Linked DNA regions of Lepisosteus oculatus. The protein of the gene in region 1 interacts with the protein of each later gene in a pairwise test. Links are inferred from orthologs where the notes say so. Each region holds a gene or a part of one and is shown in the gene's direction. Other genes may lie near its edges.

What was found.
Region 2: the proteins of csnk1db (region 1) and per2 interact in binary tests that used the Homo sapiens proteins (3 or more experiments, as listed by UniProt). The link is inferred for Lepisosteus oculatus from reciprocal best matches to the Homo sapiens genes CSNK1D and PER2.

The regions. Positions count from the first base shown.
Region 1 is NC_090704.1:39,443,055-39,450,893, forward strand, and holds the start of csnk1db (casein kinase I), read left to right. Parts: upstream 1-4,652; 5' UTR 4,653-5,058; coding exon 5,059-5,134; intron 5,135-7,839. UniProt on the Homo sapiens protein: Essential serine/threonine-protein kinase that regulates diverse cellular growth and survival processes including Wnt signaling, DNA repair and circadian rhythms. It can phosphorylate a large number of proteins.
Region 2 is NC_090708.1:8,122,327-8,130,084, forward strand, and holds the start of per2 (period circadian protein homolog 2), read left to right. Parts: upstream 1-4,688; 5' UTR 4,689-4,864; intron 4,865-5,221; exon of another isoform or gene 5,222-5,464; intron 5,465-7,758. UniProt on the Homo sapiens protein: Transcriptional repressor which forms a core component of the circadian clock.

The DNA.
Region 1 (7,839 bases):
TAACCTAACCTCATTTCTCACATGTAGTTCTGAGCAAAGGGCTCTGGCCACAGGATGAGGTCTGAGAGCTCCCTGCAGATTTTGTTCCTTAAATCTAGCCTTTCATATTCATCTGTTTGTTCAACAGGGAATTAAAATATTTTGTACTTTATTTGAAGGATGTCTGAAAGCATCCCAAACTACATTTGTGTAGCCTGCTTACAGTAGATGCTATCATCAGAATTTATTTTTTTAATCTGAAGCCATCCAAGTGCAAGGAGCAGATTTCGCAGTCTTTGTTTATATGATCTCTGAGTTTTTGCTTGAAGACTGCTTAGTTTAGTGGTGTGCCAGACAGAAGACAGTTTGATGGAGGACAAACATTACGAGGCTGATGTAGCCCATCCACAATTGTCCTTATCTCTATCAGCCACCATGTTTTGGTCTTTCACACAGGTACTAAGTTATGGGCAAAACAGCAGTTTTAAGTTAGTCTCACAGGTAAGTCTGCACCATAAAACCTTAATGTGAGGTCACCTTTTTAAACTGTGATTTTGATCTCTGCTAACCTATCTGAGGGAAAAAACAATATTTGGTGTTTTTTTTCCACTGAATAGGAGATACATACATGGATATGTGCTCTGTTTATAATTATCCAAGCCTGTCATATTCCCCTGTGAACAAAAATATTCATAAAAGCTGTTTAAACCAGATGTTGTTGCTGTAGCTTAACATGAGAAAAATACACTTTGGTAACAGCATAGTAGTTTGTAGTTATCAAACCTGTCTTTATCTATATCTGTATGTTGGAGAAACTAACGTGTAATTTGAAAAAAGAAAATGTTGAAATTCACCTTTGATTAATTCATTTGACAAATACCATTATAGTGTTGTATGGTCATCTGTACAATGTCTTTAGTATGTTGTCTGCAGTATATGATGTATATAATCTTTATAATACAAGAATCAAAATTATTGCAACCAACCAAGAATGAAAATTCTACATACTGTAATACCTTTAATATGGTCAAAGTAACAATTTACTCAGCAGTAGCTTGCTGACGATTGTACCAAAACAATTGCTGTAACAACACCTAGTAGACAAACTATAAAATGATAAGACCCTGAATATGAGACTTATTTTACCCAAAATATTAACCAGTTTAGAATGGGTACCAATACAGGAATGCTACAATACAGTTAACAGTGTGTATAGTGCCTGTTGAGAGCTGTAGTTAAAAATGCACCCTAAACAGGCTCTTGAGATGAGCTCATGAGGATTGCAACACCTTTTAAGCTCCAGCGGGTTATGTGATTGTAACAGAGTCACACCAAATGAACCCTTTTACATAAGCATGTACAAGAGTCTGGAAGTGGAACTTGTTCTCTAATCCCATAAAATGCCAAGCAAACTGCACAACATTAATAACTATAATAATAATTTCAATGTAATAACAGCTACACGATAAAAGGAGCAATCCACACCTTGTGCCTTTTAAATCAATATATTACGTTTTTCTTAATTCTACATGAATGCAAAACACATTTTATAGTATACAGGAGATTTGACACTGATTGTATTCACAATGAGAACTGATACTGATATCTATCTCAAATTAACACCTGGCATTACTGGCAGACTTTAAGTTCTTCCAAGAATTTTGAAACGTACCATCATGGTATCAGTTTAGTGAACCATGAGTTAAGCACAAACTGTACAAAATGTTCCTCATCACTTTCACCATGTTACACCATGTTCCATTTTGGTTAAAATAATTTGAAATGACACTAAATAAATACTTTTAGAACATTGATCTTAATGCAGGGGGAAAAACAGATTTGCATTACAGACAAAAATACATATTATCCTACAGCTGCACAATCTGTCATCTGAAATTACTTAGGGATCAAATCATTCATGACACTTCATTTGAATGTGTCTACAGCTTCTTTCAGAGAGATGTTTTCAGTGTTTTCAAGGTTTGTTTTGTCCAATTAATAAAGAGCAGCATCCCTGTGCCATCAAAGTGCACACCTCCACAAGACCATCTATCCAACATGATATAATCTTTAGGTTTCTGGTTGTAGAAATATTTAACTAATTAATAAGCTCTCCTGTCTGAGTATTCTGAATTTAAGAATGTTTTAGGGATCATTTGAAATCAAAGTTTATAGTTAGATGTACCAATCCCATAAACACTTTCACTTTCTAAAATGGCAAGCCATGAAAACAGACGCTGAATCATTGGTTTTTCAAAAGATGTGTTTCATTTTTTTCAAAGTGCATCCTTGTAAAGGAAAATGTCAAATGTAGAAACAATAAACCCAAATAAGTGAGTTGATGTCACAGTTGTGAAACAATCTGAAATATTTTTATGCACAAAAAATCTTCAGAAAGGATTCATCAGATAGCTTTGTAAAAAAAATCCATGGCCTTACATTTTTCTAGTCAAAACATATTAGCTCAGAAGCTCAGAAGTATTTGATGAATGAATCAATAATGTAAAACGTAGGGTGGTAAAAATGTAAAAACACTGCAAAAGAGCAGGCCAAAGACATCCTTAATCTGTTATAATATTCTTGGCGGTCTGGAAAATGCATAGATAAAATATTTCTACTTGACTTATGGAGATTATTTTTATAAAATCAAAAATACAAGTTGAGGAAAACTTATATGAAATTTTGGACATATCCTAAAATCTGTGGATTCTAAAAAATATCATTTCTTGTCTTGCCTTCAGAAAAAATGGTTGCCCCATATACTGTATATGCTCTTTATATTTTGATGTAAGCACACCTATTTACATTTTTAAAAAATCTAAATAAATCAAGAGATTTTAAAATGTGATGGGATATAGTATGTTCAGACTTTCATTATTATAATCAGATACTATTTAAGATTGCTTTAGAACCCAGTATCTGAAGCAAGATTAAACACTAATTTATTAAATGTAATCTTCCTTGGTACGTTATACTTGTCAAAGACATTTCTTCTAGGATTTTTTGTATTCTTGTTTATGTTAGCAAAATGTAGCTAAATTCTGTGTACTTGTGTAATAAATACATTTTAAATAAATGGTACCAATCCATAACTCAGAAGATTTATGGATTAGCAAGGTTTATAGAGGATGGTCTTAGCGGAAATAAATATCTTGCTCTCAAGGATATCTTCAGTAAACCTAGAAATTATATTTTTATAAAATAAGAACAGTTCAACAAGCAATAACACTTCTAAAAAAGAACAAGCCTTTTTAGAAGGCCTAAAGGAGGAAAGAAAGGAAAGGTCAGCAATAAACTGCTACAGTACTCAGTGGGCCCTTAGTCAAAGGCAGATGAGTTTTTTGAGTGATTTCTGAAAACAGTTGTATGAAAAATGTGATAAACATAGAACAGATCCATTTACTCATAGACTATAAAAATAAGACTTGCTGTTTCACAGAAACTGAAGTTTGTTACTAAAGCATATTGTACTGTCAAAAAAGGTTAAGATCAAATATTTCAGAACCTTCCTTTTTGATGCAGTATAATTTTGTTTGACTGCAATTATAGTAATGTAAGGACGCCTTTTGGAGAAAAATGTTGACTGTCTTTAGTTGATACCAATACATTTATGTTTTATGATGTCCAACTAAAATAATTACATTCCAGCCCTATAAGAAAATACAAACAATTTGAAAAAAAAAGGTTGCATTTATCACTTCCTGTTGTTTCAGGCAAAGGACAGATGAGTTGAATTTTTTTACGCTTTTTGAAGTGTAAACAGGAAGACTGAAGAGAAGACATGTTACCACAGAAACAAGTTTGGCAACCAGTTGGAACAATACTGGAAGCTGTGTAAACAACAAGGATAGGTGCACGGTGCTCATGGAACAGAGCAACTTTGAGAACAAGATGGAAGAAAAGCAGTGAATTAAAAATGCACGATTTTTGGCCCTGTTAGAAACATAAATACAAATGTTTGTATCATCTTTCTTTAATAATTGTTCTAGCTTCAGACACAGAGCCTATGGTTTCAAAAACATGAGGTGATAACTGTTTTGTTGTTTCAGGAAGAAGCAACATACTGTACAATATTACAAGAATTTACATATAAAACAATTGTTCTGTGTGTTTATCTTTGTCTTTTACGGGGCACATTGCTCTTCTGTCTATTTACAACACATTTAATCATAGTCACTCAACTGGAATTCTTGCTTATAGAACTAAGGCTCTAAAGGAAAAGTATAGCTATGTAACAGGAAGGATATATGTTCTATGTGTCTATTTAGCAATGGTTTCAGACATATTCAGTATTTATTTTATATTTACTGATGTTTTTTAAATTAAATTATTGTCACAATGAAAGGATTAAAACCATTTCGCATGCTTCATATACAACTGAAAATACAAATGTATATTTGTAGTCATGAGGAATTAACTTTTTCCCACTGAATAGCCCAATGTCTTTTGAGAACATCTTGTCCTGTCCATGTTATCTACTAATAACCTATGAAGCTTATTATTGTAGAGATTGCTTTTGGAAAAAAAAACAGCCGCATATTATTTTACGCTATTTTGAAAGCTGGACAAAAGAAACTAAGAAGGTTGAATCAATCCATCGTTATACTTGTTTTTGTTTCAGACCCTACCCAATCCCCTCCCCCTCTCCACTGTTGCTAGGGGAAGTGATGTCACAGGACTATGGCAGACTGTTTCACACAGAAGGAGGGGGTTAGCAGAGGTAGTCAGTATTTTAAGCTAGAGAAGATAGCCATTAAAATCCGTCTCCATCCTCTCCACCGTTAAGAGGGATGCCATCCGAAACAACAAGAACATAATCTACACATTTCAAGCTTTCAGATAAGCCCCATATTGGTGTATTTGGAAAATCGGGGAGGTAGAAAAGGAATGGTGAAAATTGGATTGTGACAGAAGGAACAATATTATTAAAAATTGGAAGGAAGGGGGAGAGTGGTGAAAAGGGCAGATATAGAGGAAATATTGAAGGTTTCGGATATTATTAGGGGCTTAAATCGAACCTTCCGGGGGTTTGATTAAGAAAATTACTCCTGTTTACATTTTTATATAAGAATTAAAGCCATGGAACTGAGAGTTGGAAACAGATACAGACTGGGTAGGAAAATTGGAAGTGGATCTTTTGGAGACATTTATCTGGGTAAGTGGACTAAATTGATTCTGTAGATTGAAATTTAACTACAGTTATTTTTTGGACAGGACGAAGGTAAGTTGGGCTCATTTGTGTAAGAACACGGGTGCTTGTGTTATGACATTTATGAAAACGGTCTGCAATTTGAGTGAATTGTAGTAGTAGAAGGTAACATTCCCCTTAAACTGTGACGAGCACTTCTTGTTACTGTGCCGTATTTGCATTATCTGCTTCGTAGTATAAATGTGTCCAAGTAACTTAGCTGTATCCTGTTCCTTTTCACAGAATCTAGGATACCTTGTACTAAATAAGGTGAAGCGATGTGTAACTAATCGAGCTCTTTGTATCTCAACCCCCTTGTTACTAGACGGGAGTGCTCCTATTTAAAAATAAACCCGAAACAAATTCATTCCAACAACTTCTCTGACAAGGGCTTCGGTTAGTGAATCGTGCCTGCCGCTCATTTATATTACCTTTTAGTGTTGGAAACGGCGCCGTACACAATGCTATCTCGGGTTTTTGTACCTAATTGGAAGATCCCTTTGTTATGTTAAACAGAAATTGACACTTGGCTTCTTGGCATTTTGAACCTTCGGGTTTCCACAGCCATCGCAAGCCGGAACAAAACAAACGTATTTTTGCTCGTTTTTTTTGTACGCAAATCCCCCCAATTCAAACGCTGTTTTGTGATCTGCATACTTTTCTTTACCAGTGGTTAGTTACTGCTTAACCATAGATGTTAACTGTTACATTGTGTAGCTAGAGCACATACACCGTGCGGCGTTCTGGGTTCACAAAGGAGTTCCGAACCGAGGATGGTCCTTTTTTTATCCGAATTTCGGTATTTTGATCAATTTCCCAGTCGAACCTGAAGTGAGAAACATCAAACAGGAGGACCTTTCTCTTGAGGGTGCATTGTTCTTCAGGCGACATTCGCTTCCGAGCGGTTAAAACGTAACACGAAGAGGCTTGTGTAGCAGTAAATCCTGTTCACCACCACACGTAACGTAGTGGAAGAGGTGGGGGTGTAAAAAAATAGATGTTGATGTGTAAATCAAAACGAAACAGAGTATGCGTTATATAACGTGTGCAGTTGTAAGATCTGGGAGGCTGGTATGCTTTATTTAGCGGAAAAAAAACGTGTAGAGCAAATTGCAGGTTCTGTTTTCCCCCAGATTCTCGTTTGGAAGAGGAGTCACGACGGGTGGGTTTGTTTGTGTCCAACAATGGTCCTTTGCAGCGCCTGTATGCTTTTTAGGCACTCAGTGCATATTAAGCGTGGTCTGGATGTGAATCTCGTGGGTTACCAGTTCTGGCTGTCTGGTGTAAAGTTGGAAAGGTGAGGATAAGTTTCCCCCAGTATTATAACACAACACCAGAAACAGCCAGAAGGCCTGTGGGCAAGACGAACGGTATAAGGGATGTGTAAGACGATCCCTGTTGATTGGGGGTGACCTTTCCCATATGGATGTCATCTGTTACTATTGAGGTAGGCATTTTCCTTTAGTGTCACAGACTGGTTTGGCTTCTCAAGATGCATTCGATACAGGGATATAAATATGGACTGGTAAGTCCTCACTGGTTGTCTGATACGAGAAAATGTAGATTCCCATAGAACATCATTAGAAGTCCATTGTTATGACAGTAGCTATAAGGTGTTTTAAAATGGTGTTACTGAGATGAGCTGTTTTGTATGAATTGTACTTTCTCCTTAAATCAGCTTTGTATTTTATATATCTCCTTTTGGGTGTACACACAAGGCCACCTCTGTAAAGGCTCTCTGTCTTTCATTGTCTCGCAACAGTTTTTATGTTGGTACATTGTGATGGACGTTTTGTGCAGCTGCTAACATGGAGACCATGTTAAGGAATTAATTAATACGGATTTAATCATGGCTTTGGAATGAAACCTAAAACCTATTACATCAGTTGTAGTCAACAGATGCTCAAACACTTAGTCTGCCTTGGTTATGCTGGTGTTTAGCGCAGTATCACTAACTTCATACTGCTGATTTAGTGTAAGTTGGCTTTTTTGCAAACCAACTTATAGCAAATCAAAATGAGTTTCTGTCATTGACTGAAGTTTAATAACATGAAGTGTTTATTCTTAGTCCTATCCATTTGATCTTCAGAATGTCCTTGTTTTGGCATCAGACCTGGAGGCTCTGTAATGTTTTCAACTCCCAAGTTTTTTTTGTTTATTTGGTAAAGTTACAGCTAGTCTGAGCTGGAAGTTAAGGACCTTCTATTGGGTTACTTGAATCCCCATCAGGGTCAGCAGACTATCCACTTCTCCAGCGGTCCCTTCTCGCCTCTATAATGTTTAATCTCACTGCCTTTTCTTGTATGGTTGGCTCTGATTGGAGAAACTGCAAAAACCTTTATTTGATGTCAAAACTGGAAGGGCCTGTTTCTCCGGATCTGGAGAAGCAATTTTTTTAGACCTATTAAACTACATGCTTTACTGCCATCAGCTGATTTATACTTGTCAGTTTTCCTATATTAATACAAAATGGTGGCTGCATGGTTCAAACATAAATTGGTATTCAAGTTAGTATTGCTGGTGTCCTAGTCCTTAAAATATGGACTGTGGCATGGGAAGTCATTTTGCAAATACTCTTATGTACAGAAGCAACAAGAGAAAGATGTTTCTGGTTCTGTAGTATTTCTTGCTTGAGCTCTACCCTTTTAACTTAATCATAGCATTAGGAATAC
Region 2 (7,758 bases), on another chromosome or scaffold:
ATTTGCTGAAAAAGGTAGAGATGTCACACAGGCTTGGATAAGATCACTTCTCCCCAACCAGTCAGAGATGGTGTTGAAAAAAGTGAGCAGTGATTCATTTCATGGTAGAAATTAGGGAAGGCATCTTTTAAACAGTTCACTGTACCTCCTCAGCTCTATCTACAATCCTCACAACACAACCTCTATATCCTGAGCTAACATATCTCTAGTTCCTGGCATTTTTCTTAAATTTCTGGTCCAAGCAAATTTGGTGCTTGTGATAAAAACACTTACAATAAAATAATATTAGCAAGACATTTTAAAAAGCTTCCTTTAGCTAGCAATTATGTGTTCCAACTCTCTTTAACACAAACAACATTCAGCTCTTTATTAGATATTCATGTAACCTTAGAAGATAGTAATAAAAACAGTTTTGTGAATATGGATTTTTTTCCGTGCTATAAAAATGCTTCTTCAGTACTCTTTTTATTTACTGTATATTCACATGTCGTCTTAGTAATGTAACTTGTAAAGTGTAATGTCAAAATACTTAAAAGTTTATTTAAATTGTTCAGCTGTTGAAATTTCAATGGTGCAATTAATGTTTGGACTGTACACTGGTATTTCTGCCATAGCTCGTATGGAAATGACATTCACTATATTTATCTTTTGTAAGAATTAACCACTGTGTCCATATCAAAGAAGTAATCCAAATAGCACCTGCATAGATCACTTACAACTTCATCAAAGGTTCAAAAGGATTTCACTTTGAATTTTTCCAAGGTAATTCTCCAGTGATTCTTACGAATGTTTCCATACGACTGAAACCTACTGAGGCATAAATTCGGAAAAGGGCATGAATGAAACTTTCCAAAATGTACAGCTGTTTTAGTTTACTTTTCCAATCTGTGGTGAAGTTGGGCTTATAATGTTAATTCAGGTATATCAGGTATTAAGAATATACCTACTGTACTGTAAGGTTTCATGGAACAAAACCTCCTTTATGATGAATTATGTTTTAAAGGATTAACTGTCTCAGGCTGTATCACTAAAATAATTTAATTCTTAGTCAGAGTAAGACTTTTCCACCAGACATCCTGCTGTTACTTTAAAACATTTTTTATGTGTAAGCCCAAGTACCCAGAGACATTCCTTTCTAGTGGAATACTTGCCAAGATTTTTTTTTAGCAAATGGAAGTTTTACGTCATTTGTCTCTCCAGCATTTCCTTGTGTTAACCAATGATACAGTGTATGTGCCAATTCTGGAAGTCATCTTAAGGTCGCTCCCAATTCCTTAATTTTCCTCCTGGAAAATGCACGGTTCAATTTTCTTTGATAAAAACTTTTATTTTGATTGTTGCAACAGTGACAATTCTTACAGTGCATACTTTATATCTTGTTGCATGGTAGATTTAAACATTTATAGAGTTTATTGGTACTGTGCCCACATGTTAAAGCGAATGCAGTTGTTTCAATTTGAATACAATTTGATGTGCAAGCAAATATCACAAAACAAATGTACTGTAATATAACGCAAAAATAAAATACATGTAACAGAAGTAAACAACTGAGAAAGAGAGCACAGTAAAACTCAAACACTCAAAACCTGATGCTAAAAAAACAAAATCAATAGTAACTGGGCTTGAGGAAAACAAATAGTTGTGGATATGGTGTTATACACAAAAAGATCTGTTGCCTGATTATGAGGAAATTGGGCTTTGGTAGTGACTAAGAATGGGAATTGGACTACATTCATGCATGAAGTATGAACCCATGTATAAACTATCTCCTTAGGATAATCTGGAGCTAGACTGTTCAGTGCCTTATAAATTAGCAGGTTAAAGTCCTCTGACAGGGAGCTTGTGAAATGTTCACAGCATAGGAATTTCAAGCTGATGCACAAGTATATTTATTGGGTGGACCATTAGGGGTCACTCTTACCCTTACGCTGGGAATTCCAATCTGTTCCTCAAATATGGAAACAAGGACCGTTGGACTGCAAGAGGTTCCTTCCTTCGGATGTGCCTCTAACCTGTGATCCTGATTGCTTGCCCAGTCAAGACCTGACAGCACTGTCAGAAAGAGTTGTTCTCTCGGTGCCCTGGCCAAAGTCCAGTCTTCTCAATTCAATCGGTGAAGTAATTTCTCACTTCTATACCTGATTTGGTGGTGGATTATAACCGCCCACACGTTACCTAGGTATCCAGCAAGAGGCTTGTGAGAGGGACTGACATTTCAGTAGTGAGTGTAACATGCTTGCAACCTAGATGGATTCTCAGACCCATGTTCACTACATCCTTCTTTGACACTGTCTGGACATCCACAGTGTAAAAAGAAGTCAAATCTAACAACTGTCACATTGTTTTAAAATTTTAGGGATGTTATTTTTCATAACTGGCCCACACTATATAACTGCAGTTTTTACAATAATTATAGTAGAGAAAAATAGTCAGTACAACTAGGGCATTAAAAAACTTTGCACTTAAATTGCTCCTGTGAGGATGAATAAAGTATTTTGAATTGAAATGTTGGTGCTCCTTGAGTGCAAGCCTGTAACAAAAATGTTTTTGCCATTGTGGTAATAAACACATGAACATGACCCACTCCTGTCCCACACACTGGGCCTCAAAAGACAATCATTTAAAAATACATAAAAGATGTTACCGCACATTACAGAAGGATACTTTCACTGAAATGTAAGAACTGTACACTGAAGTGTAGAATCTGAATTTTAAGGGATATATAACATTATGGGGCAGTATGGTGGCTCAGCTGTTAGCGTTCCTGCCTTGTAGCGCTGGGGCCCTGGGTTCAGGTCCTGGGATGCTGTGTGGATGGAGTTTGTATGTTCTCCCCATGTATGTGTGGGTTTCATCTGGGTGCCCTGGTTTTCTTCCACAGTCCAGAGTCATATGGTAACTTCCTGTGCCCTGCAATTGGACTGGTTCCCCATCCAGAGTGTATCCTGCTTTGTGTCCATGGCTTTGCCAGAATAGGTTCTGGCTCCCCCATGACACTAAAGCACTTATAAAATGTTATAAAAATTACACATGCCCCACCCAAAAGGGGTACTACTGCTCTACTAACTCTGCTGTACTACTTTCTAGACTAAAGCACATAGGAGGACGTTTTCCTCTTAGCAGTAGTTAAATGACAATATTCTAAATGTAGTAAACGACTTTTCTGTTTTCTGCTTAGAACTTAATACATTTTATTCTGCCGCTTTGGCGGTTCTAACGCTTTTATCGAATAGCGAATCGTATAAAAGAGAAAGACTAGCACAATCCACGTGAAAAGTGCTGAGATAAGCCGTGCCTCAAAAATACCGTCTGATTTGCAGGTGTTTTAATAAAAATGTAGCTCCATATCACAATGTGGCCCGCAGTGTCGCCTTATGTAATGGGAAAACATAGATCTTTGTGATTGTGTAATGATTCAATTAAAACAGCATCCCTGTCAACACAGCGTAGCGCTTTCACTCATGACTGATCTGGTCCAAAAATGATATACGGCAGTAGCCCTGTTTCATCATAAAAAGCTATTTAACGTGGGATTAATAGAAGTCTTATAGTAACGGTTTTCGTCCCTCGACGCAACAACCTCTATCTAATAATGTAAATGTATATTTTATATACAGTACAGGACAATGCCTCATCCCCAGAAGATATTTAGCAAAAATGTGGGATGGTTTCGCCATTTAAGCCCCGATGCAGAATTATATCAGTGGAACACACTGAATTTCAGCACGTGCACGCGTTCCTTCCTGTTACCTCAGAACCCGAACCGGGTTTCGTGAAGAAACCGCGTCCACACGGACAGCATGAGACCACGGAGCAGGTGTCGCTGGCGTTACACAACAGTCACCAGGACTGACAACAAAACAAACCCCAAAATCGCATGGACACATACCATAGGTGCGGTATCTGCAACAACCACACAATCCCAGAACCAAAAAACAAACAAAACAAACGGAGTATCTGCACGAGTAATCCATAGAATTATTATACAATTATCAACGATTTGTGAAGGAACTGCATTGTGTAGACCTTCTTTTTATACATGCTTAAACTTTATTCAAACAAATTCATTTATCTGGTAAGGAAAGAAAATGGTTATTGGTTGTTGTGCATCTGATAAATAAACACTGATTGATCAGAAGTCTGTTGTACTGCTGTATGCATGAATTTCATAGTGTCTCCACCACGCTATTTCATAACATTAAAAAGGTAAGTGCCAGCCGACAAATGTCTCTACGCAACATCATCCAGACGTGCAAGTTGACAAATGCCGTAATCACTTACATAATTCTGCATGCGTGCCCTCTTGGAAAAAACTGCACCACAGGGCAGTTTAGAAAGGTTCACCCCCAGACTATTACGTGTTTAGTAAAGGGAATGCCAGCGAAACACACACACAAAAAAATAGTTGTATAATAGTTTAGATAACAATCAACGAAATTTCACCATCCAATACCAAACCCTCTCCTTCCAGCAGCAGCGTTCATTCAGTTAGCACAGGGCTTACACTACTACGAAATCGCCCACATTGCCTGCAAACATGGTTTTCCATGTGAGTCTTATGACAGCCTTACATAAATAGATTGGCGGCGCGTCGAGCCAATTGGCGTCCTCTGACTTCATCGCCTACTATTTGCCATGGAAACCCGGGGCTGGGAGCCAATGGGCGCCGAGCCGGGGCGGAGCCCGTATTGAGGTCACGTTTGCCACTCCAGGTTTTCGGGGCAGCTGTGGAGCCGAGCGAGACTCAGAAACTGGAGCGCAGCAAATGTTCCTGAGGACACAAACGGGAGGCTACCTGCCGTAAAACCAAACACAGGAGAGCAACGAGAGCAACGAGCTGAGCCCCGTTTTTTTTACGCGCAAGGTTTGTCTTTGCTTATGTGCTCTTGCGGCTGAAGAGTTATCCGTGTTACTGTGCTAGACCGCCCGCTAGCTGGTTGTGTAACACTAGGGAATGGGTGACACGCTTTTGGATTGGAGATTCTGTTAGCTTGAATGAAATGAAGAGTGATTCGGTGCTCTAAAGTTTGCCTGCTCTTCCCAGTCTGTTATTGCATGTATTGCATTCTCTCAGATGAGAATTGTTCGCCGCGCTGATTTATTTAGCGACTTAATTTTTTTTATTTTAAATAGGGGGTCTGTTATGTAAGCGTACCACCGGTGGGTCAACGTTTTTTTCCTCCTCTGGGATTGCGGTGGGTCACTGGAGTAGCACTTGCTTGACAGCACCTGCCCTGCCTACTGTACATAGTCGTGTTGGTTCATTTTCCTGCACGGAAAGAGCTGGGGGACGCGAGTAAGTTGCCTCATCGCGGAGGCTGACAGAGCTGCAGGCGCTCAGAGAGTTTATCTGCAGTCCTGTCTCTCGGGTTTGACCTCGCTGATCCAGTTACCAGCCGTGCAACTTTGCTACAGTCAGTGCAGACCCTGCCGGTCGTGAGCTTGTCGTTTTTAAGTGAAGAAGGCAAGTATTTATTATCACATCTTATTTCTTAATGATGGGTCATATATATTAAAGATTGAAAGGGGGAAAACTAACATGGAGCTGGAAAAAGATGCTTTCAGAGCTTCACTCGGTATCATATCAAGCCGGTTTACTATCATAGCCAGGATATTAGGTCCACTCCAGTGTGGCGACCAGTATACTTGTATTCGTTTGAAGTGATATATTTTCGTGACCCATGGAGGCTCATAGGCTGTAAATAAAAAGTATTTTGATTGTAATATAGTGTTATTCTTGCACTTAAAATGACGACATCGTTTCTACCATTATTGCATTTCCGATTAGAACGAATACCCCTGTTAACAAGTTAATTCGCTCATTCGACTGATACAGTAATATATAGTTTGGTGTGTGAAATGACTCGTCTGGGGTATACCTGTGCAGTGTGCTCTCTGTAAGGGTTGGGGTATTTAAGAGCAAGTTTTTGGTGGCGCTATCTGGGTCAGTTGCGACAGGAGGATGTAGGCTAGTGTAGCCAGTTGCTGACTAGACGCGTGATAGGGAGAAAATCTTTTTTTTTTCTTCCTAATTTTCAAATGGAAAGCGAACTAATGCCTTATGCGTGGGTGTAATTCAACAAAGCTGTGTAATCCTGAATGTGCAACCATTCCAAATCAACTGACAGAGATTTCGCAGTTTTTTGTTTGCGATATATTCTGCTTTCGTTCCGTTTTCACCCTTGTTTGTCTCGACATGTTAGATGACACAAATATACACTCCTTAATATTTATTAGTCCGTTTATTGAATATGCCGGTTTTAAGAGATTGTTAAGGGTTAGCTGCATTGGTCTGCTTCATGCGATATCCCTACAGCCCATTGTCCCACTGAAAACAGGTTATTAGACATACAGCATGATAGTTTCTCCTACATTATATGCCCTAAATACCTTAAGCTGGCTTTACTGAGCTGTGCCTCTATATTGTATACAGTATGCTGAGTTGCCAGTCAGACCTGTTGCATGGATATCTGAGTTGTAAGGAATTTTAAACATTATGTTCATTGTTTTTGAGATGGTTTGGTTGTGTTACAGCATATTTCCATATTTCTTTATTGATGTAACATTTTTGTGGGTGTGTGGGCTACCTGTGGATACTACTGTACATCTATGGATTTAGATGATCAATTGTCAGAATTACAAAAAAGGTTTAAGTTTATTATCTGGGAATAATGAAACTCGAAATGAAATGATTTCCCAACCTTGAAATCAATCTTCATTTTCTATCAGGTTTTAAAACCCTCCTTATCTATAATTTTCTGAACAGCCTCTGTGCCAGGCAAATAAATCTTTGAACCCTAATTGCATGATAAAGGAGAACTGCTGAAGCATATTGAGTACAGCTGGTTCTATCTAGCTAGTTTTACAAAGTTCATTACAGTTTACCCGATCTTGGTAAAGTGAAAAGGGTACGTTTGTATTTTCTCCTTTTAAACATGTATAATTTATTGTGATTGCAAAACAAGTTGAATCTTCATATTCATTTAAGGTTGTATATCCAGGTAGAAATGTGATTAATATCAGAAATAAAAATGATATGAACATGTTTCGTGTAGGTCGTTTGTTGATGAATGTCCAGTTTTAGTATACTGTGGATTGTATACTTGGGTGGCTTTTAATTTGCATATCAAATGAGAGGGGTTTTATATCTGCCCTTAATTTTCAATCATGCTTTTATAAATAATTCATATAATATAAGACAAGTTGAAGTCCTCCACATGTTGTAGTAGCACAAGATCAAATGCAGTTCTCGGTTTAATCAAACTTCATTACATTTTTATTAGTTTAAAGGGAAAGTGGAATTATTATAATTAGCTTAAATGGATGAGACCAAATCTGTCCACATTCATATAGCAGAGCATTTTACTGAAGCAATTTAAGACAAGCTCCTTGCTCAAGGGGTAGACCCAAGATTTGAACCCACAGCCTTCAAGTTGAGATTTAAGGGACTTAAATGCTGCTTCACACTCTGTCCTGATCTGCTGCTACTTGAAGGAAAGTTTTTTTTTTGTATTGAAAAGCCAAGGCTAAACTATCTTCAATTATTTGAATACAATACCATGCGGAAAGTACTTATTATAGATGTTGCATTCAGTTTTTAGATTGTATTGAACTTCATATTGAAGCTTATCTGCTGCCTGTATCTGCTGGTGGGGGGAAAGCTGAAGATGTAAGTGTTACTGAAGGGCAGCTTGATAGGAAAAGGCTCATTTCATGAGTCTAACTGTTTGGTTTGACTGGAAAAACTGACGAAGAGCA